Linked DNA regions of Lytechinus pictus. The protein of the gene in region 2 interacts with the protein of the main gene of each other region in a pairwise test. Links are inferred from orthologs where the notes say so. Each region holds a gene or a part of one and is shown on either strand. Other genes may lie near its edges.

Region 1 (12,375 bases), on a different chromosome or scaffold from region 2:
GGCAGAGCTTCATAATCCTCCATAGAGGTCATCCTCAGCATATTCATCTTGGGTCCAATGTACTGAGGAATGTAGCAGGATTTATTCTGGGTGAACATGTTCTGAAGGATACCAGTCGTGTCCACTTCTTCTTTCTTCATGGCCAGGTAGACTGATATCCGCTGACTTTTCTGGTAGGCAGGGTGTGACATTAGCTGCATCGAAGATCATAAGTGCAAGATGTATCAACAAAAGTAAAGTTAAATTACAATGTATTCCAGCAGTCAAAATAATAATTTAGTCTGTGGTCAACCACCAGAGTGATTAAAAGTAAATGAGCTCAGCTAGATTATACAGACCCTCTGTAGTATACTAGTATACTCACAATGATGGTGAGTTCATGGCCGAAGTAGGGGGGTTGAAATCTTACATATTTTACTTAGACTTTTCACAAAATTCACCAAAAAAGTGCACAAAATCCTTCAAACGATTTTTTTTTAAGAAAATGCCAAAGTGCCCCCCATGGCAAGCTTGGTCACTCCACATAAGGCCCACTTTCGAAAACTTTTCATATAATTCATTCTCCCTATTGCAAATGAAATCACTCTAAAATGTGTCCTTGCAGTGTTTTGCTCTCATTATTTCATAACATAGGGAAAATAACATGAAAAGTTGTACTTAGATATCAGGTAAAGTACATCTATGTAATCTTATGTATCTAATGTGGTGGGAGGGGGATTTCTTTAAAGAATGTCATTCATTGAGTCAAAAATACATGAATTTCCAAATAGTCTAGATGCTTCTTCTTCTAGTGTGAGTAGTGCTTCATCCAATCGAAACTCCTCAATACATTCTGAGGAGTGCAGGCACAGTGCTGCCTTGAATATGAGGAAAACACTACTACTAGCGACATGGAAATTGAGACTAGGGCTGAGGTTAATGGTGAAAATAGTAAATTATACTTGATTATCATCTAACATTCCAATCGTAAATGTGAAGTGATCACTGAATCTTTCTCTGGGGGTCCAGAACATTCAATGTGCAGTGTTTTAATTTAACTTTTGTCTGACATGGTGTAAAGGCTTGGTCTGATGGTAGATTTAATGGCAGCGGGGGAAGGCATAATATCAAGTTTGGCTAAAAAATCAAGCCCTTAGCATATCCCCTAGATCAACATAATGTCGAGGCAACAAATTGTTGGCACACAAGTTAGGGCACTTTTGCATCTGGCGATGAAATTTCAGTCACATGGAGCATCTTTTTCTTCTTCTTACTACTTAGAATACTTAGGGAATATGCTGAACAAAATCATTTTGACTCTGTATTCAGTTCCAAATTCCTTCTTCTTCTTCTTCTCCTTCTTCTTCCTCTTCTTCCTCAGCTGATCCCGGAGATCTACAGACGCTAACGTTGGCGAAGGACAATAAGAAACAAGATGGCGGCGTAAACATCGAGCAAGTTTCCCCGTCTTTTCATAATATTTTTCTTGTTCTTTTACTGAATTTTTGTTTAAAACTGACTGAAATCGATATCGTAGAAATGTCGGGGATCTTCATGAAAATATACCACATTTACATGATTTAGGGCTAGATCTTTTAGAAAGAAAGTAAAAATCACAGCATGCTCGGGGCGAAAGTTCCTGTTTTTTCGCAGTACACACACATGAATGGGACGCAATCCCTGGCTCCGTGGAGAGTAAGCCTACGTTAGTAAATGATTTTTACTCTCCAGGAACCTCCTGATTGATCTGATGGATCATTGTTTACTTTCAAACTGTCAACATGGATTTTCTCCAAATTGGTCCTGTATGACACAGCTCTTATGTGCAATGGAAGAAATGACACACACACTTAATGCTGGAATTCCTATTGATGTCATTTATTTAGACTTTTGTAAAGCAATTGACTCTGTTCCTCATGAGAGGCTTCTCAAGAAATTAACGTCATATGGTAGTATAGTTGGAAAATTACATGCTTGGATAAGAGCCTTTGTAACAGGAAGGGAACAGAGAGTGACTATCAACGGTGAAAGTTCTGATTGGAGTCAAGTACCTTGGTAAGCAGCGGCATTTCGCAGGGGAGCGTGTTAGGACCCATTCTCTTTGTCATCTTTATAAATGATTTACCTAATATTTTGGACAATTCTGTGTATATTTTTGCCGACGATACCAAAATCATCAATGATGTCAGCTCTGATGTTAAACAAAAGACTCTTCAAGCTGATCTTACTCATGCTGTCGAATGGAGTGAAACCTGGCAACTCAAGTTTTCAAAATGCAAGGTTCTACATATTGGAAAGACCAATTCAAGAAGTGTTTATACTATGAATGGAGATGAATTAGAACCATGTAAGCAGGAGAAAGATCTCAGTTTTATTATGGATGAAGAGCTCAATTTTCGCCAACATGTCTCAGCAGCTGTTTTGAAAGCTAACCAAATACTTCTTCTTCTTCTTCTTCTGGAAACAGTACAGTCCACCGTCTGGTGTATTGTCGTACTGGTGAAGTGCAGCGTGCAAGTGTATGTACATTATTCGATAAAAAATTGCTTACAGCGTGCAAGTAAAAGCAACCACCGTTATTAACGGAGCTGGGTCTTTTGTACCTCTTGTTTAAAGATGTGTAGAGAGGTACAATTAACTGTGCTGTTGGGGAGGGAGTTCCAAAGTCTGGAATAGTACACAGAACCTTTTCTCAAATAACCCCTGAAATATTGTTTGTATCTCTGATTCGACCTCATCTGGAATATGGGAACATTTTATGGCATGTGAGATTTAAAATGGATGCAGACAAAGTAGAGAAGGTGCAAAGGAGAGCTACTCGCATGATTCCTGGTCTCCAGAGCTTACCGTATGAGCAACGTCTAGAGAGACTAAACCTTCACTCACTGTTTTACAGAAGACGAAGAGGAGATGATTACTGTTTACAAACTGTTAAATGGAAAGTTTGGGATCTCGAGTGACACATTCTTCACACCAGTAATCCATTCATCAACTAGAGGTCACAAGTTCAAGCTTTTCACAGGACGATCTCGGCTGGAACTTAGGAGTAAATTTTTTAGTCAAAGAGTAATTTCTGACTGGAACAAAGTGCCGACAGAAGTAGTGGAAGCTAAATCAGTGGAAATGTTTAAACATCTGTTGGATAAATTTTGGTGGGGGGAAAGATTTAAAACCTCCATTTCTCAACGCACGTAAAGTCTCACAAGTTTAAACTGTCTAGATAATGGTCAACCACCGGAAGTAAAGATCGGAAAACCTACAGGAGAAGTCTTTCATTTCCTAGACAGGAATAACCGTCGTTTCTGGGGATTTATCTAACAATTTCTGACATTTTACTAATACTATCATGAGCCATCATAGTTCAGCGGAACAACCAACATTTCAGAGACTGAAGCTTTTGGTCTATTCATTTCCGTACCTGATGTGATGTGATGGTATTGATCGGCCATTTTGTTTTTAATTTTGACAGAAGGAAAACGAACGAGACGGAACTTTTCCTTTTTTAGAGGGTCCAGTTTGTGCCTCGATGTCAAGATAGCTGTGTCATGACACTCATCCTACGAACGATAGCCAATATGATAGACCTTCATCCATATAATCGAGGTAAATGCATAATTTATTTTTCCCCTTTTAATTATTTGAAGTGCTATTCCGACCCCATTTTGGAGAGTATATGTTTGAATAGTATTACACGGACGACTCTCTGGGTTAGGAGAGTCGTTGCACGTTGCCGTTGGAAAATAAATTCAGACAAACATTGACATGATAATAGTCAATACAACATGTATAATGGCATAGACGTGTCTTATATTAATTAAAGTTGACATGAATTGCAGCATCTGGGACCGAAAATTAAAATGCGTCGTCTGCTACAATCTCAGGTAAAATATTTGTCTTTTCCCTACAGAATTGAACATGATTTATCGGTTCACTAACCTTTTTTGTTATGTAAAGAGACTGCCTGACCTTCTCTGGCTCAGAAAGAGCTTTCAGTCTCTTCTTTAGCTCTTGTCGAAGAAGGTTTTTCGCTTGATGGACAGCCTCCATGACTCTAAACCGGATGTAACTCAGAAAAGTGCATGATGGGATCGTTAAAACATGTAGATGGCGCTAGACCAATGTGGTGCGAACTGAATTAACTTTGATAAATAAAAATCTGGGTGCAAATATATATATATTATATATATATATATATATATATATACCTGTTGAAACGTCTGCTACGAACTTGCTCTGCTATATGGCCTGAACAAGCGGGCTTCTCATTTTTACAGAATGTAGGCATATGTCATTCTATAAAGTTTTCTAAAAAACTTCAAATTGAGCTTTGGTGCTAAAGCTTCTCCTTCTCCCTTCACCATGTTCGCAAGCAGGCTCCTGGATTGTGCCGGGCTGAAATCATTCAACAGTATATTATTCCCACTTGACACGTCCATTTTTATTCACAAACTTTAAATGGTAGAAGTTTGACTTTCCTCGCTTTGCGAGAGAAGGGGAAACAAAAATCAGGCTTTTTGCGAAAACACAATGCTATAGCTATAGACCTATTCCTCAAAATAGAATTTTCTTACCTTTTGAATTACAATCACATGAAGGTTGGATTTTTATGAAATATAACTTTACCAACAAAAAATGATGAAGCTTCATTTGGGATATATATATACATATAGCTTTTACACAACAGATTGATTTAACGCAGTTCCGTAACTACCAAATTTTAGGGTGTACACTAAGCACAGGGGCCGCTGAACGGTTTTCAAAGTGGGGGGGCTGACCATGCTAAAAATCACAATCATATGGTCATTTTTACGTTTTTGTACACGGTTCCGCGGCCCCTGATTAGCAAATGTGGGAAAATTTGTAAAAAGTCGCCAGCGAGCCAAGTGATCGAGCCAGAAGAAAATTGGCCTTTTGAAATGAAATTCTAATTATGTGATAGATTTTTACATTAATTTCAGGAAATAACATATCATCATTGTTTTCCATTCATTTCATTTTGTTTTATTGCCTTCTTTACTTTCTTTTATTTCCCCTTGGCTGTTGAACCAAGAACCCCGCATGCAGGAATTAAGAGTCCTTAAAGGGATGGTCCGGGCTGAAAGTATTTATTGCTTAATAAATAGAGTAGAATTCACTGAGCAAAATGCTGGACATTTCATCGAAATCGGATTACAAATAACAAAGTTATTGAATTTTAAAGTTTAGCAATATTTTGTGAAAACAGTCATCATGAGTCACATCCACACTTGTTCTTTTGTATTTTATAATATGAAATTAGGTTTATTCAAATTTTTTCCTCCAAGAACTAGAAAAATTGGATTGACAACTGATTTAGTGCATTAGATATTTATTGCTGCAACTTATTTAATTATCACTCTAAAAAATGTTTACCCAATATTGGGTAAAATGGGAACATGCATGTTGGTTGGGTAAAAAGATACCCAGTATGGTGTCAATTTAACGCAATGTTGCGTTGAAATAGCCCAATATGGGGTAAAAAAAATACCCAGCAAACATGCATGTTCCCTTTCTACCTAATAGTGGGTAAAATTTTACTCAGTGTTTTTAGAGTGATATAAGGGAGACATGTTATTCACACAAGTATGAATTAATGAAAAAATTATGATTTTATGTAATAACATAAGAAAACGGAAAGTGGAGATGTGACATCATCAGCCCACCTAATGAATATTCATGACGACTGTTTTCGCAAAATATTGCTAAAATTTAAACTTCAATAACTTTATTATTTGTTATCCAATTTTGATGAAATTTTCGGCATTTTGCTCAGTAAATTCTACTTTATGTATTAAGATATAAATATTTTCAGCCCGGACCATCCCTTTGATAGAGCCATTTTAAGGTAGATGAACTAGTTTGTACGGTATAACCCTTGCCATGCATGCAGTGTAAAGCTTTATTACGGTAGGGTCATAGGCCCTATCACGTAATAAGGGGATGTGTACGTCTAGCCCTTGGGATTTTTTGTCCTGATTGCGACCTTATTGTATAAAATTTAGCAAGCTAATATAATAATACAATGTTCCTTCACTTCCCGCTTTTTTTTTCTTTTTCAAGATTTTTTTATTTCTCAACTCATTCCATACATAGGTATCACATGCACAGATACAACATAATAAAAAAAAAATAGCACACATTTCAAACAAATTCAAATAAATGGTTCATTTTGTATACAAAATATCTTTTGTTCGATGCACGTTTATCAAATTACGTTTAAAAGCAATAATTCTCTCAGTTGTTTCGATTTTTTTCCAAACCAAGCATAAATTAAATGAGTAAAAGTGGGTTTGATACATGAATAGATGACATATTTTGCAAACAACACAATGATATTGGTATAAGATGAAAGTTATTGAGGGTTATAACTCCAAAAATGTCAATGTCACTGAAATATGTACTTCTAATATGCTTGGCCTTCAACCACTCGTGAACTTCGTACCAAAATGAAATTACATATTCACATCTAAGAAATAGATGAACAATTGTTTGAACGTGGTTTTCACAGAAATTACATAAAGGAGAATCTTTTACTCCAATTTTAAATAAAAAATCTTGTATTGAAATTCTTCTGTAAATAAATTTAAATTGGAAGTTTTTAATTTCCCGATGAAATCCACCAGTTGGGGAGCCCGCCAATTGTGATTTTTTGCATGGTCAGCCCATCCCCCATCCCCCCCCCCCCCCCCACTTTGCTGCCCCCGGGGCTGCCCCGGGCCCCTGATGCGGGCCCTGATGCATGCCCTGCATGCCCGTTGATAGATCCGGTATACGGATCCATATCCGTATGAATCCTATCTGGAGAAGTGAAATTTGTCAATATATACATATTTAATTGGCTTATTAAGACAGTTTTTTGAACAATTGTCCTAGTTGATAAAGTCACTCTTACGTATACATGTGGAAATCTACAAAAGTTTTACAGTTTGTATGAATCATCGTATTTCGTAATAAATTCTTCTCGCCCGGGTTAGCCTTACCTACAGACTGAAAAAGAATGAAGGAAAAACTAGAACTGATATAGGCTTATTCATGCGCTTGTGTAATAATCTTATTTCAGTTATTTAATATTTTAGTCTTATTTTTTTCTCCACGGATTCCACCGGTTTCTTTCTGTCTGGTCAATACCCCCCGCCCCCCCCCTCCAAAAAAAAATAATTCTCGCCCGATATCGTTGAGGGCGCAATTCATCGAGTTATTTATAGAATCGACGAAGGCGAGGGTGGGAACGGAAAAGTTTATTGTCAAAAATATTGACAACATACTTACCAGAAATACTATTTGTACATGGCAACAATATATGGTCTCCCCGAAATGCAGGTGAGTTCACGATGTACTGAATAAGTTGATTGATATGACTTTTTGTAGTAAAATTCAAATTTTTTTATGAGTCCTCGCCAGAAATTCCGGTAGGCCTACTCTCGTCGATTATGCTTCCCTGCCGCTGCCCCCGCCGTACCGCTCACGGGTTTAACTGCCGACCGCTCTGGCTGATATTCATGCCAAAACTGGTGTAACGTTAGGCCTAACTTTAGTTAGAGTAGACTACGCCGTGTACACTGTAGGCCCTGCGTGGAATGTTGCAGGATCAGTGTGGATGTGCATGGTATGGTGAAGATCATTTAGCAGGGTTTGCCGGCCATTCCGTGCGTTTGGGAACTGGTCAACAAATCGAATTTATATTATAAAAAATTATTTCACCACGATATGTAAAGAAACTTTGGCGATTTTGAAAGTAATTGATGCGAAAGGCTTTGTAGTTTGTTTACGATGTGAAGCTCCTCACACAACTGGTTCCCTCTTTCCTCATGCAATATTTATGATCGGGCTCAGATTGCCATGGGTGGACAAGTTTCAAGACCACTCTGCCACTTTCACAATGTTGACCAAAAAATTATTACAAAATCGATTCATTAAATAAATCACAAGATATACCGGTAGGCTATATATTATGGGGATGAATCACTTTAAACTCTGTATAATCATATTGAATGAATTTCTGATCGCGTTAAGAGGGGGCATCTGTGTCCTTTGGACACGTCAAATTTCTAGTCCTTCCTAAATCTCTTATAGATTTTATGTTAGATAATTCTTGATAAACCTCCATATTTTTTTTTTCAATTTAGTGGAGGCTGGAGGGGACATATGAAACTGGAAGTCTTGCCCAATAGTCTAAGGGTTAAAGTGAAAAAGGGCAGCAGTTTCAGAACTTCTAGATCTAGATCCAATTGATTTTTGTTAGGCTTAGACTAGACTTTAACTTTATCTAGATCTAGGCCTAGATCTACATGTAGTTTAGACTGAGGCTGAGACCACTCAAGGTTCCAACTCAGGTGTCGTGCACAGGAAAGTGCAAGGCATAACACCCGTGAAACTTCCATGGAATATTTTATTATGTAGACATTAGTCAGATTAGACATCCCTAGTGAAATAATTTTTTGCTATGCCGCCCTCTATATGCATCTTGTAGCTTAGTTACTAACAGAGATAAGATGTGAAAAAATTCCCATTTCTACCACATATATACTGTAGTTTAAAGTCGAGTAGGGGGTGCTTGATATAAAATCATTTTCATTAAAATGAAACATGATCACAGAAACTATTCAATATATTATTTATTTCTTCATTACTTCCACTAATCTTGAATCTATAATTTGTTCTTTCTGTCTGTTTTTCCTTTTTTTTTTCTCTAGATCTATTCCCTTTTTTCTTTTCTTTTTTGTTTGTTTAAGGCCTATCTTTTTATTCTTTTGCATTTATTTTTATTTTCATTTTCTCTTTTATTTTGAGGGCTTTTTATTCTACTTTCTCTTCTCAATAGTTTTTTCTCTTCTATATATCCGTTTTTTTCTTTGTTATTGTTCTCCTTATTCTTTCGTTTCTTCTTTTCATCTGTTTCAATTGTTTTTTTTTTTCTCTTTCTCTATTTTTTTTTTTTTAGATCTCCTTGCTGTAGAAGTTTATTTTGAAGACAAAGAATTGACTGTTTTTATTTCCTTTGACTTTACGATTTGTTTTTTCTCACCACTTTATTTGCCTCCTTTATCTATCTCATGCTTAACATTAATATCTGATTACTTCTCATTCCTTTTACATCACCATCCCTTCATCTCCTGCTTTGCATTCCTTACACAATAGGCCTACTATTTGCAATGATCTTTTGTCCCTTCATGTTCATTTCATGGTTCAGTTAGCCTGCAGTTACTGTCTTTGCTGTTATGCTGAACACAAGCGATACGTCTGATGTGGCAAAGACTACAAACTATGGATGCAAAGCATCCACCGCCTATAGACACCCGTCTTGATTTGGATTTTGTTTTTTAATATTGACAATGAAATAACGCTGGTTTTTCGTACGAAAAATTCTCATGCATATGTTAAGCCATGATGTCACTTTCTTCATCCAAAATGGCGAGTACGAGTACACGTGAAAAACTTCTATGAGAAAGTTTGGATTATGGAGCTGACAAATTTGGCATGCCTAGTTAAAGTAGTTATTGATGACGGGAGGATATATTTGTCGCTTTACCAACAGGATATAGAAAAAGCGCTATCTACCAGGCAATCCCTCTGTGTTATGATTATCTTCGCAATCACGTCTTTTATGATGGAGATGTCTTAATTGTTGACACATGACCAGGAATACAGGTACCGGTTCCGGTACCACAACATGTCAAATGACAAGATCATGGGAAGTACGAATTAATAATCGTTAATTTGACAACGTCATGTCTCTCAAATATACTTGAAGACTATAGTTTAGCAAAATATTTAATCTTTTATTTTAATGGTTGTTAAAAAAAATATAAAACATTGTTTTGCAGACGTTGAGTTTATGTATCCCTATCTCCTGATTTGTTTTACCCCCATTAAGTAATGGACGAGCAGAATCTTTTTCTTTGCAACTTCATGTATCTGATGGTTGAACGTAACTTTGGTAAGCCATATTAGGCGTGGTTGTGGAATTATCCATAAATTCGTCATTTTGAATAAACTTGAATATTTGTTAGGGTGTCTATAGGCAGTGGATGCTTCGCATCCACAATTCGTAGTCTTTGCCACATCAGACATATCGCTTGCGTTCAGCAGATTAGCAAAGACAATAACTGCAGCCTCCGCTTTAGATTATAGGCTATGGTTCAGTTGATTTACATTGAAAGGTTTAGCCTATATGATTATTTAGTGAAACTTACCCTTATTCATAGAAACTCATTTAAATTTGTTGTAAACTCATTTATTTTCATATAATTTCTTTTATATGCAAACTTTCTTATTTGAATATTTAATATTTACAAATTATTGTTAAACAAAGAAATAAGCCCGCAGATTGAGATATTAAGTACACCTCCGCCAGGCAGATTATCACAGGCAAGCAAAGAGTGAACATTTGTATATTATTTAACTCTGTAGGGACATACCACACCTAGGTGACCACATAACAACTACCCTGCCCACAACCTTTACAAGCAAAAAAATCACTCTTGGACTCCACCTTGATGCAGCCAGGGGGGGGGGGGGGGACAACATTTTTAATACACTTTTCTATTGTCTCCTTTAAACAAAAATGCTGGGGGATGCTGGATCTACCACTGGAGGATACCATAACACATTGTCAGAACAGATGATCCATGCATCACTGAATAGAATTTTACTGGGTCTTTTTTTTTGCATGCAGTGAGTTCCAGTAATGAAACTAGGAAAACTCTCAATTATGATAATGTAGATCAAGGAATTGTGATAGGACTCTGAGCAGCTAGCAAGTAAAAGTTGTTGTAAAATCTTACCTTTTTTTTAGGCAAAGATGGCAAGGAGTCAAGACTACATTTTTTTTTAATGAGATAAGCTTCATTCACAAAATTGGTACATTTTAACATTTAATATTAGGCGTACTACTCCTCAAGTATTCTAGTTCTAGGGAATTGTAAGTTTCTGTTGGACCTTATCATGCATACCTTTTTCATGGGGTAGTCCCGGACATGTGATGCTTGTGATGAAGAGAGTCAAAGAGAATAAAATTAGGTTGCATTATTGAGGGGACAATTGGGGTTTGTCCTTACATCCTCTTTGAATCAGAAAAATAATAGATTTTGATTTGGTTGTGTGTTCCATGACACATTGCTCATCTCTATTTTGTTTTGTGTTTGTCTTTTTTATACAGGGGGAGGCCCCTGGAACTACCCGGATCTTGAAAGTGAGAGTTATAGAAGGAAAAGACCTGGCTAAGAAGGATATATTTGGTGCAAGGTATGTTTGAATAGATTCTCATCATGCATCACGTTCCTAGGAATCCTCCAAGTACTGTTGATTAGTTAGTGGTACATGTAGATGTGTATGGTTTATGAAATAAAACATGATTTAAAATATTGTAAGCCAGTCCAGGATGGGAATGAAATATGAATGCCAGTTATACTTACATTTGTAATATTAACCCATCTGTTTATGTGGTGAGTGCTGAGAAGCATTCATCGTAAGTTATTTTAAATTTGTGAATCATCTGTGTGTGTGTGTGTGTGTGTATAATGTGCTCTAAAGAAAACTCACAAATACTATTGGTATTATACACATAATACTGTATATTATACATGTACATGTATGTACATACTACATAAATACATGGATTGTTCTAACATTTTGATGCCTCAACAAGAAATGATCTAATTTGCTCTTATATATTAAAGTATAATAGGCTACCAACATGTACATGAATGTTCAGAAGCAAAGATCTTTGTGCATGAAATCTTTAATGAATGTCCATATGTTTCAAGAGTGTGGTAGAAAAAGAAATTGACAATGTTACCAGTGTTAATTTGAAAAAACTAAAATTTCTCCTGATGGATTTGACAAAAATACAGCTCTAGCTGAAATTGAGAGATGAGAGTTTGAGAGGGAGAGATTGAAACTAGGTGAAGGTCTGTGAAGATAGAGACTATTCTTTGACTGATCAATAATTTGTGAAGTCTCAGTGAATTCGAATTGGTAGGCCTGCCTGGCTGGGTTTGAGGAGAGAGAGTATCGCTGTTGTGACTTTTTTTTTTTTTATCACCTTTATTCAAAACAAAGCAAATGGAAATTACAAACAACGAAAATAAGTCCAGGTTACTCGGTTTTTTAGGACGAAGTACAGGTCTAATATAAGAATTACAATACAGATACACAATATATAACATATCACAATCAAATTTACATAAAACGATTATACATTGGTGATTGCAGAAAAGAAAATTGAAATAGATCAAGCACACACCCTTACAACTGAAATGAAGAGAGGATAGAGGGGAGATAGAAAGAGTGAACTTGATGAAGAGAGATAGGAGGAAGAAAAAGTGTGACGAGTGAAAAGAAGGGGAAACAGGATAAAAGGATAAGACAGAGAAGGAG
Region 2 (12,082 bases):
TTATTCAAAAACAAAAACTGTTATCATCAATAGATGAATTTTAATAGATTTGAGATTAAATGTTACTCAAACAAGATAAATATAACTCAGATAAGAATAATTTATGACTCAAATATGATAAAATGTAACTAACATACAACAAATCATATACGAGATGAAATGAATCAAAATTAGGAATTAAAATCCCCATCAAACAAGGTGAAACACTAATGAACTTCTGCCAAAATTGAAACTTTGTTTACTATTTAGGAATCACGATGTCAGTATAAACTACAATGCAAGTATAAACTTCAATGTGAAATGAACTGAACACGATCTAAACAGCGAGAACACCATCGAACAATGCGCATCCGTGTGGAATTTCTCTGTTTATTATCTGAAAAACGGGTCGAATTCCAGGAACATGTGACAATGTGACAGGGTGAATGACCACCAATTGGATCCACATGATTTCTCCTTTTTTTTGCCTACTTAACAAGAACCTGAGCTATAAAGAACTCAACAGGTGCACAAAGTCCTTTCATTCTATGAAAAATCGAAGAAGTAAATTGACTTTGGCAACTCCCAAACTCTGCAAAGAAAAGAAATTTAAAAAAGGGCAATCTGTTTTTTTAATTCTCAGTACATATGAAAAGCGAATAATTGCGTGCCAACGATTTTATCTTTCAAGACAGTCGAGCTTAATGTGTTTTTTTTTTGTTAATGTTTTTTTACCTTGTATTGATAACATTACATAGGCCCTATGTATTCTGGTAAGCACATTTACAAACACAGTACAATCTAGACCAAGTCTAAGAAATTAAAATTTAGCTTTTCCAGGGGGACTTTTCCAGGTTGGCTTTACCTCACCCCTTACATCTCATAGGTTCTGTATATATGTATGACCTTATAAATACTTTCTTATTTTGCTAAGCCTCTCCATAAACTATACATTGCATTGCCAATTTAATGACCACAAGTAACATCCCAAAATTTCTTTAAAAAATACTTTTCATTCATTTTGAATATCTCAACCACACCCAACAAAAAATTTAATAAGAAAACAAAAATAGGAAAGAGGGAAAAACCCAAATTTCCAACAAGCTATTGCTTCTTTTAGCTAATATGCAGTATGCTCTCTCTATTAAGGGCATAGGGGATTTGGAAAGGACTCTCTTGCACAAGCTGCATTTCTTTGGCCATGTTTAGTGGAAAAACTGGCAGCTCTCAGGGGGTCCTGAATAACCTCTGGCCTTTAACCTGTTGTTACCCACAAAATCAAAATATTGTCTTAACTATACCAGGGGCCTGTCTTACGAAGAGTTGCGATTGATCTGATCAATCGCAACTATGGGAAGCCAGCAAGGTCAACATTTAAAATGCATGTTTGTTCAAAAAAAATTCTAGATATGAATGTATATCCATAAATTCATTGATTTCTTGACAATTTGGTGTGTTCTCCTTTGTTTACAAGGGACATTTTACAAATTTTCTGTAGAAGAAATTATGACACTGATGGATTTCCATAGAGTTACGATTGATTGTAAGACGGGGCCCTGGAACATTTCCAATGCAATAATAAACCCTTCACACAAAAATTTAACGTGGATAAGGGCACTAAGGCAAATGACAGTTTTATCACAAACTTTGCTTACTGTATCATCCAAGTTCACAAAACAAATAGGGAAACGTATCGAGACATATATGCAGTGGTGCTCAAAAGTTAGTGAACCCCACCTCGGCCATGTTTTAGATATTTAATCGTGGGTTTTGAAGTCAGGTGATAAAATATTACATCTAATGAAGTTTGTTTCTCTTGGCTCGCTGAACATTGTAGTGTTGTTGTCGGCATTCAACACTCGGCATGAAGGAGTGCATTTTGTGGTGGGGTTCACTAACTTTGGAGCACAACTGTACATGATGATAATAGGCCAAACAACAAAATCAGTCAAATAAAGGGGAAACATCAGAGTGGGAAATTTTGAAACACACCTTGTCAAATGATGCAAGGGCTAAAATGGGATTTGAACCCTGAACAATGCGATTCATAGTCCGGCTGCGTATCCACTGAGCCATACCACCTCTGCATATTACATGACTTTAAAAAGTTATTTATATGATCATACATTTATTCATTTTCTTGTAATAATAATAATAAAAATAGCTGGATTTATAAAGCGCTTTTAGCCTGAGGATACAAAGCGCTGCTATTATTACCCCGGCTTTAGCTCGAGCTACCATCACCGGCGCTCAGTGCATGCAAGGAATTAGTCCTGCCGGGTACCCATTCATCTCACCTGGGTCGAGTGCAGCACAGTGTGGATAAATTTCTGGCTGAAAGAAAACATGCCATGGCTAGGATTCGAACCCACGCGACCCTCTGTTTCAAAGGGGAGAGTCAGAACCATTAGACCATGATGCACCAACGAGTATAATGTAATATAGGAGGCACCCACAAAAATAATATAGGAGGTACTTACGGTATTTGAATAGGCCTTTCAGGCCCAAGTAGCTTGGCTCCTTCCCAGAAGCAGTCCAATGGCGTGATTATTGTACAAGGAATAATGTTCTCTATAATCTGTAGATACCAAAAAAAGAACATTTGAAATACATAAAATAAGAGGCGGAACATTAAAGGATCGTACAATGTTGTGGTTGTACGTAGGCTATAAAGAATATTATAAAAATATAGTTAATTTTTGATAATTGATAATGAAGATATGATTGATAATGTGAATTTACAAAATGGCGTCACGATGACCTTTTGACCTTGAACTGGTTTCATACAGATGACAGGATAAGTCCCCATATCTGATGATATTTTGAAGATAATTGATGATGTAGATTTTGAGATTTTATGGCAACAAGAAAAGGGCGGAAAAATAAAAATAAATAATAAATAAATAAAGAAAGAAATAAAAAAGAAAATTCGTACGAAATTAATAGTTGATCTGTCGATTGACAGATCACCTAGTAAGGTTAAATTTCAAAGTTCGCTGACATAGGGTGTGCAGGATGTGGTCAAACAGTAAATACATAAATCAATGCTTAGTTTTGTGATATGGATCCAGCCCTGCTATCAATAGTTTTTGTTTTTTTATTTCAATGCAACAGAATCCAGAGATATCAATTCAACAATATAATGCAGTCTTGTCTCCATGTAAACCCTAATTGCCTGAGATAAAAACTTTTGTAATCACTGCAAATGAAGAGTGACCAAAGCAAATTTAATGAAGCAAGATTGATATTTCTTTAAATAAATTTGAGAACAATTCTTCGAAATTCATGATAAAAAAAAATTATATCATATTTCTAGAATATTGTAATCAAATACTCACACTATCTATTAAATGGTCTTCAAAGCTAGGATACTCTGTTATGAAACATACATCTTTAAAACTCCATGTACTGCAAATAAAACAAAAGAAAGAAGAGAAACATTGCAATTAAATGAAAATGCACAATACTTTTTTTTTGGCAATAGTGCTCGAATGTGAACAGGGTGTTGTATTGGTGGTCTTCAGATAATATTTCAGAGCTACCCAATCAATTTAAATAAATTCAATCCCAAACTTGAGAGCATGAGAAAGTGAAAGCTAGAGAAAGAGAAAGAAAATAGAGAGTAAGAGCAGGAGAGTAGGGGCTTTCACAATTGCTCTTGCGATCATTTGGTCATGATATATGATGCAAACAATAGCACCGGTTGTAAGCAGTTGCACCACCTATTGTAAGAGGGGCTTCAGAGAGAGAGAGAGAGAGAAAGAAATGGCAATAGTAATTAGAAAGATCTTTATAGGGAGTTAGAAAAAGACACCGTTCCCATTCCGCTTTCTAAATCTAGTTTACTGGAAACCGGTTTGGGAAACCAGTTTGGAAGATCGCTTTGCTAGCGTTCCCATTTGATCACCCAAAAGCGGTTTTCAAAATCACTTCACATAAAGCGATCTTGTTGATATGGAAACGCTCTCAGTGGGGTGACATGTTTCGCGCGAAATTCGAAACCGCAGCATAGGCATTCTACACCTGTCATGAGTAGCGCGCTCAAAATGTGCAAAGATCGCTACCAGAAGAACGCTTGCATCCTCACTTACGCTAAAACCAGCTTAACGAGGCAAAGCAATCTTGAAATCTACATCGCGAGATGGTTTTATGAACCGGTTTGGAAGATCGCTTCGACCGTTCTCATTACACGTTAAACTAGTTTCCAGTAAACTAGTTGTAGTAAGGTAGTGAGAACAGTGTCATAGAGAGAGAGCAAGAGAAAGGAAAAGAGATAACTGATGGCATCAGTGATGGAACACGAGTAGCATTCTGGGTGTTCTCTGTTTTGAAACGTGATACTGGACGTCACCGACTCCTTCAATATGACACCCATCTGGAACATCACATTAGCATTATCATCTATCATGATCTATGCTTGCCCCCAAACAATTCCAAGCAGTTCTTCCCTTGGAAGGTGTTGATTGGATTGACCACAACTCCAGCAGCCTGACATCAAGAGCCAAGAGTCTGAGGGGCACTAAGCACGAGTGACAAATTTCTTAGATGCATGATTGATGTATTTTCGTTGCATGGTTTTATTATTATGTTAATATTATCTTCTACTGCATTCAATGTAACTTTTTGCAAAGGCTATGATACAAATGTGACTGGCGTCTCTTAAATACAAGTATTTTTGTTATTATCATTACTTCATTTCACTTTCATGACTTCACATCAAAATAAAGTTTGCAGTTGAATTATATTACTTGGTACTATTAGGTTTATGTTAACTTAAAACAGTAAACATTATAAAACTGTGAGTACTTTTCATGATTGATTTAAACAGTTACATGTATTTCACTCTTTTTAATTCAAGAAATTTACCATCAGCTAATGTACTCAAAAGTTTCAAAAACTTATTCTACATTGTTGATTTCATCACATCCAAATAACTTATCTTCAATCTTTAATGGGTTTCTAACTACATGGATAACATCATTTTTTGTATCATGGGTGAGGGAGCACCTACTAAACATGTAGGCCTATACATTGCATAAATATGGAGCACAATTGCACAAACCAACATCAAAATGACCTCTGTAAATACAGGCATGTGATATCATAACCACTCCGCAAAAGTATTTGACTAGTCTTGGTTCTATTAGTGGGGTACAATCCTAGAGAATTTCATCCACCGTAATTGAGTTAGTGCCTGCCTGTTGGTTGGGCCACCACAAGGATCAAAGTGCCCGTCTAACCCAGCCAGCTATTTACCATGGGGCGACTCTATTACCCCTGTCTTGCTCCGGTATGGTGAGGATGTGGGTAGGAAGTAGGTGGGTGTGCTGAAGGAGGGGGCGATGGGGGGGGGGGGGCCTTGGGGGTCAAACATCAAAACTTAGTCCATTAGGCATTATCACAGACTTTTTTCTTATTACAATTCATGCGATTGTCAGTTACATGGCATGTAAAATTATCTAATGATTCTTCACACAAAATTGTAAAATTTCAGAATTTCAGAACATAGCCTATAGGCTTTGATGCTGCAAGTGTCACCAAAACACACAGGAACATCTACACGTAGGCTATACAATTTTCAGGAATGGATGAATGGGATGGATAGATAAATGAATAGATGGATGAATGGATGAATGAATCAAATAATAAATGAAAGAATGAAAATGAAAGTGAATATCACAAATCAAAATAATAACTTGAATGCATTTTCCATAAGCTAGGCCTACAGAATATAGGTCCTATCGATTTAAACCTTAACTTTCGTTCTAAGGACCAACAAATAACAAAATGTGCTACTTACACTCCGTACATGTCGACTTCAACTTGCGTCGCAAGAACGGCCGACCTGACATGTTGCAGTAAGGCCGATTGTGTAAGGATGTTTTCCCCATCTTTCTTTGGCGTTTGCACGATTATTTGGCTTGTTGCACCCCAGCCCGCTCCCAACGTTGCTTCTGTGTACTCCAATTCCTGCTCTAACCTCCCTCCAACTGCACAAATGAAAAAAGAGAGAAAAATTTAATGAAAAACAATGCACATGATCCAAAGTTACAATACAATATATTTTCTACCATAACATTCATACCCTATAATCATTTGGAATTGATCGGTCTATAAAACATAGGAAAAAGGTGAGACTCCAAAGTAATTTATACAACACTTCATGAACACTATGTCAACCATCCCCCCCCCCATTTATTAATAAATATACCCAGAAGATAGGAATTAAATTTTGCTGGTGATTGAAAAAATTGAAACTACCCCCTCCCCCCAAAAAAAATGAATAAATAAATAACAATAAACAAAATCTATATATAATAAAACTTAATGAATAAACAAAACATAAATGATAAGACAGGCTTAAATAAACAAATTTGAATAGATAATTAAATAATATGAATCGAGAAAAACAGAAACCTCTGAAGTCAGTTTCAAAGACCAAACTCCACTAACATCCATCAAATCAAAATGGACATTCTAATAATGATAATAACACAACCATTCGGCATAAATAATAATCCTGAGCGATAAAAGTCATTACACCTAAACAACAACTAGTATAACAACTGGTATTTTCAAGCACTGCAAGCCATCAAGTTCATCAAAACTGAGAGTGAGGATAGGGGAGTTGACATCCAAGGTCCCGGACCTCCCCGGTGAAGCCCACAAATCAACCCTCCAATGAATGAACCAAGTGACCCACAGGGGCCAAGGTCCTGGACTATCTAATGTAATCCTTAGTCCAGGAATGGGTCAAGGGCACCCACACTCCTTGTGGAGTCTGCAGTCGTAGGACTACATCAAAATGGAATAGAATTATACACCAAGCAATTATGCACTATTCCAAGAGACTGTCAACCCATGTTGGTGCATGGTTTTAAACAACAGGTTCACAAGTGTACAATTGAGGTCTGGTGGTGAAAGTTAAAGCAATAAGATCACCCTGGTAGTTTGAAGCTAATTGATTGGTCATACCTTCATTTCTATGATTGATTGCATTAAAACAGGTTTTGACATCTGAAATATCCTAAATAAAACCAATAAAATAATATATCCTTGATAATAATAATCAAAAGTGGTAAACACTGGTAAAAAAGAGGTGAGGTCTAGGCCTACATTGTAAGGTCTTCTCTGATCTGAATTGTATCTTCATCTCGTTTGTGAGTCAAACAGAAATTGATTCTCCACATGAGATACATCATGCATCACAGAAACATATCCGTAGTAAATATGAATAGAGTTGTAATATGAATAAAAATGGAGAAAGATACATTTCTTTTGGTTTTAAATGTAAGGGAATTTTGCAAAGACGTGACAATCATTAGACGACTTTGTGAGATGCTTCCTTGATCAAAATTTACACAAACTTTCACAACCTGTTCCCCCATCTATGTAATGAGCTGGTCTACAAAAATAAGGCTTAATACTATCTGAGGTCCTGGCTAAAAGGTTTATATTCAGATGTATCTTCATCACTATCACCATCTGTAGTGGCGGATCCAGGGGGGCCACATCTGGCCGTGCCCCCCCCCCCCCTCTTTTGAGGGTCATAATAAAAAAAATTATTGTAAATATGTTGTTTTCAGTTTTCACACAGGTGTGAAAGGGGCCCCCCTTTAAAAGTCACAGAATATATTTTTTAACAGGAATGTCTTTCATACACAAGTGAAGACCTTTTTTATCTTTTTTTTTTGCTTGTCAAATTTTCCTCAGAAAAATGTGCCCCCCCCCCTTGGAAAATCCGGATCCGCCTGACTATTAAACAGAACCCTTTCATGCAGTTTAAAAACTCTAAACATTAATATGGGCTAAAATTTTGCAATCCAATGGTAACTACAGCTATGGTAACAAGACTGAATAGTGAATTAAAATCAGGGATCCCATGCCAGTTAACATTGGATGGCGATTAAAAAAGTTGCCGTAATAGCAACATCTTATGCAATGCAGCCCCAGAAATGGTTTCTGGCCATATTACATCATGAAACAGGCAACAAGGTAAAGCATTCCAGGGGCCTGTTTCATAAAACTTGTTAAAATGACAAGTTTGCAATAACAGTTTAAAGCTACTGAAATCATTCAATTTGATTGGCTGATGACATAGAAATTAGTCTTTATGAAATGGGTCACAGGAATGGTTTCCTGGAACAACAAGTGGTCTTCCTAATAAAGACCCGAATCACATTACTGTCAAGCACAGATCTGTTCTAGAATCCAATTCTGAACGGGGTCCGAGTGTTTTGAGGTGTGAATTCTGAGGAAGAAAACTCATTTCACTTTCTCACTTCTGGTCAATACAAACTGACCACCTACCTAGATCAGGAGTGACCAATGACTGTAATCAAGCCTTCGCCCGACCAGAGAGAGCCATTCAATGATAGGGGGCTGGAGGGGGACATAATAGGCCCTCTTACAATGGCCAAGCAGAAGAGCTCACTCGGCCTAGGGAGCAAATAATTACCGTGTCAATTAAAGAGGGAAACACAAATACGGATGAATGCAGGGGCCATTGTCGGAGGGGCTCAGAGAAGCCCCTTAGAATCGATCTCCGTTCAATATGGGAAATCCTCTCTGAGAAAAATCAATGGGGGTGTTACCTCTAATGTTAACTCCATAGTTGCTTGGCTGTCAGCAGAACAAATCTTACATAATCTTATTCGGGCAAGGAATGGAAAACGGGTGTAAATGTAAGATAAACAACAAGGATTGATGGGCAACTCCAAGATGTGTACTGCTGAAAGTGATGCGTGGTTGTCCATGAGGAAAGAAAGATTCATCAAATGTCTTTGGCGAGTTTGGATGATCGTTTCTGGAGCACAGAATGAAGCTAAAACTCTTGACTGTCCTTTGCCACCCAGTCTCAGAGAGTTAGGGAGTGTTTCATGGAGCAAGTAAATCAGGGATTTTCACAGACAAATTTGTTCTGAGCCAATCAGATGTGACGATTTCAGTAGCTTATAACAATACTCAGCATAAATCACTATTTGCTTGCAGGTTTTATAATAATTTAGGTCAACAATCGACTGTCCTCTACATTGTTTACACTCATTGTCACTTATCAGGCTTTCATTTTTCTATTATAAAAAACACCATCTTTCATTGACCCTAATGACCTTTGACCTTGATTATGTAATGTAAAACTTATTTATGCAAAATGATCAGTGATGCTTGATTGTCCATATGACCAAGTTTCATACGATAGATCCACTGTTTTTAAAAGTTATAACATTTCAAAAAAAGTTAACCTTGATTGATACCACGACATGGTCAAGAGTTCATTGACCTTAAATGACATTTGGCCTTCATCATGTTACCTGAAAATTGTGCATAATAATCAGTGAAGCTTGATTACCCTTATGTTCAAGTTTCATGAAATAGATCCATAAATTTTAGAAGTTCTGACATTCAAAAAAAATACCCCAACATGGTCAAAGTTCATTGACCCTTCTTTGACCTCAATCATGTGACCTAAAACTCATGCTGATGATATGTGATACTTAAATACTCTTTATGTCCAAGTTTTATGAACTAGATCCCTATAAAGTGATGACATTTCAATAACTTAACCTTGGACCTTTGGTTCAGATTTCAATGTTGAACCCCCACATGGTCAAAGTTCATTGACCCTAAAATGACTTATGAATTCAGTCATGTAAGATAATCAGTGACACTAGATCACCCCTTTTCCAAGTTTCATGAATAATCCAAATAATTTCAGTTACGATGACATTTAAAAAACTTAGTTTAACCTTGGTTAAAATTTCAATCTTGACTCCGTTGCTGCCGCCGTCAGAAAACAACGCCTACAGTCTCGCTCTGCTATGCAGGTGAGTCAAAAACATATGTAGCAAGATTCACTGTATATGCTTGGCTTATTATTTTAAGTTGGCTAGCAACAGATATACGAAGATACGAACCATTACTAGATCTGGTCTAAAAAGTGGCCATGGTCCAAGTGCCACTTCAATATGTATCCAACTGCAGGTAGCGGATCTACAAACTTTTATAAAGCAAAGGAGTACAGAATGACAGAAGTGGACTGAAAGTGGGCCGAGGTCCGAGAGCCAGTGTAAAGTATGGATGCAACTGGCAAAGGGTCTTGTTGCATTCAAGTAACCATTTTAGTAACTTTGTCATCCAATGGTATCTTTCATAAAATCTTTGATTTTGATTGGCTGTTGATCGTTGTTACCATGGTAGTTACCATAGGATTGCAAAGTTACGATAATAGTAACTTTTATGCAAAGAGGCCCTGAACTACTGAGTACAAACCATTATATTAAAGGGGGGAAGAGTTACAGAAGTGGACTGAAAGTGGGCTGTGGTCCGAGAGCCAATGACTGTAATATCCAATGCCAGCAGACCTAACAAACCCAGTCCTACAATTATTACAAACCGTTATAAAGGGGGGCAGAGGTGGTCTGAAAGAGGGGCTATAGTGCACCCCTGAATGGCAGAGTGAATAGCAGACAAGGGGAATTCAGGGCGAATGAATGGGACGAACAGAGAGGCAGATTGTGAAAGGGGTCTACAGAACAAAAGATGCAAGACACCTCATTCTCTGACATCACATTCCATAAGACTGCTTGGTCATCTTCTCCGCAAACACAAGAGGGAGGGGTTCTTCTTATAAAAAAAAAGTTGTTGACGTTTTGAGGGAGGTGGGTGAAACACTATGGTAAAAAACAAGGCAAATTCGGTTGAGTCCCCAATTTGCCTATAGCCAGCTCATTTCAACAGTTAAAATAGAAATGTACAGAAAAGCTGTACTAAAAACGAGAAATGAACATGTATTTAAAAAAAAATTGAAAGTGTACAATTTATATGAATGATATTGGCAAGACAGTGAGTAATTCGAGGTGGAGAAAAGTAATATTCTTGAAAGTTAGTTAGTTTAGTTACATTATTGAGCAAAGAGGCAGAGAATTCAGAAAGTTTTCACTTTAAATTACAAATCTGACAGAAGAGCAAATTCTCTTTATTTTATTTACTCAAACAGGAATGTGCATTGAAGACTGCCCTTTTGGCTAGATCAAAGGGTCGAGGCCACCGTTCTCCACTATATACTCAGTTATGTAACGGCTAGTGTGCAAGTGTGTAGGCCGGGCTTCATACCAGTTTGTGAATGGGTCTGTTTCGACAATAATTGTAATGATTCAAACCCCATAGGCACAGCAGAGAGAGGGCCAGGAGAGGGGGCTGGCTGGAATTTGTGGAAAAGTGAAAAGCTTGCGGCTCGCCTGTTGGATTTTGTAGGCCAATACATTGTAATAAATGGTTTATTTTCAACTGGTCTAATGCCAATTTGTCCAATTACCATCTATCTAGTCTATAATCATTTGGTCTACCATCAGTTCGTCCACTATCCACATGGTCTTATTGCCATTTCCTATCCACATGGTCTTATTGCCATTTCGTCCATTCACCTACATATTATACTTAGATTTGGTTGCAAATATTTTTTCTTTACCTTACTATACTAATTTTCGCATTATTTCATGTACTTCACAATAAACAACTTTAAAATTACAAGACCATTACACCTCGAATCTACATACATACACATGTAGTTTTATCACTTTGTGGCAACCTTCGAAAAAGTTCTTTTACAAACGACTCAAGCATTTTAAAAAAATTTAAGAAAACATGGTGGCAAGAGAGAGGGGGGGGCTACATTCTAACGTTTTATATACTTTTTTTCTTTTCTTTTCTTTGGACCATGTCCCATGTTTATGTTTTCTTGTATTAAAGTAGCAAGTTGAGTGGAAGAAAACTGGATTACATTGCACCCGAATGGGATTATGTTCTTCAAAAAAACTGTTGTTTTTGTCTCAGATGGAACTGATGACCTCCAAACAAAATGTTCACTTCAAGTCTAGCCTCTCCTCCAGGAAACATGGGAGTTAATTTCCAAACAAAGTGAAATGAATGCTGAACGAAAAGGATTTTACCCTTGCACGGTCATTTTTTGGTGACAATCGATGACATTTTATTAATAAAATAATGCCTATTGGCTATCCTGATGATCAATCTTAATGTATTCATGACAATTTTTTGGTCACTTCTTCTTCTATCAACTCCTGGCTATATTGAATCTTGGCTTCAA

The links.
Region 1: the proteins of protein patched homolog 1-like (region 2) and E3 ubiquitin-protein ligase NEDD4-like interact in a two-hybrid assay, tested with the Drosophila melanogaster proteins (2 studies listed by BioGRID). The link is inferred for Lytechinus pictus from reciprocal best matches to the Drosophila melanogaster genes ptc and Nedd4.

What each region holds. Positions count from the first base shown.
Region 1 is NC_087249.1:27,697,071-27,709,445, forward strand, and holds the start of E3 ubiquitin-protein ligase NEDD4-like, read left to right. Parts: upstream 1-7,194; 5' UTR 7,195-7,284; coding exon 7,285-7,317; intron 7,318-11,155; coding exon 11,156-11,241; intron 11,242-12,375. Other genes in the region: 5-formyltetrahydrofolate cyclo-ligase-like, read right to left, coding at 1-194, 3,916-4,026. UniProt on the Drosophila melanogaster protein: Essential E3 ubiquitin-protein ligase which accepts ubiquitin from an E2 ubiquitin-conjugating enzyme in the form of a thioester and then directly transfers the ubiquitin to targeted substrates.
Region 2 is NC_087255.1:6,105,418-6,117,499, reverse strand, and holds the start of protein patched homolog 1-like, read right to left. Parts: upstream 5,970-12,082; 5' UTR 5,791-5,969; coding exon 5,780-5,790; intron 3,388-5,779; coding exon 3,318-3,387; intron 2,558-3,317; coding exon 2,460-2,557; intron 1-2,459. UniProt on the Drosophila melanogaster protein: Segmentation polarity protein. Acts as a receptor for the hedgehog protein (hh). Associates with the smoothened protein (SMO) to transduce the hedgehog signal leading to the activation of wingless, decapentaplegic and patched itself.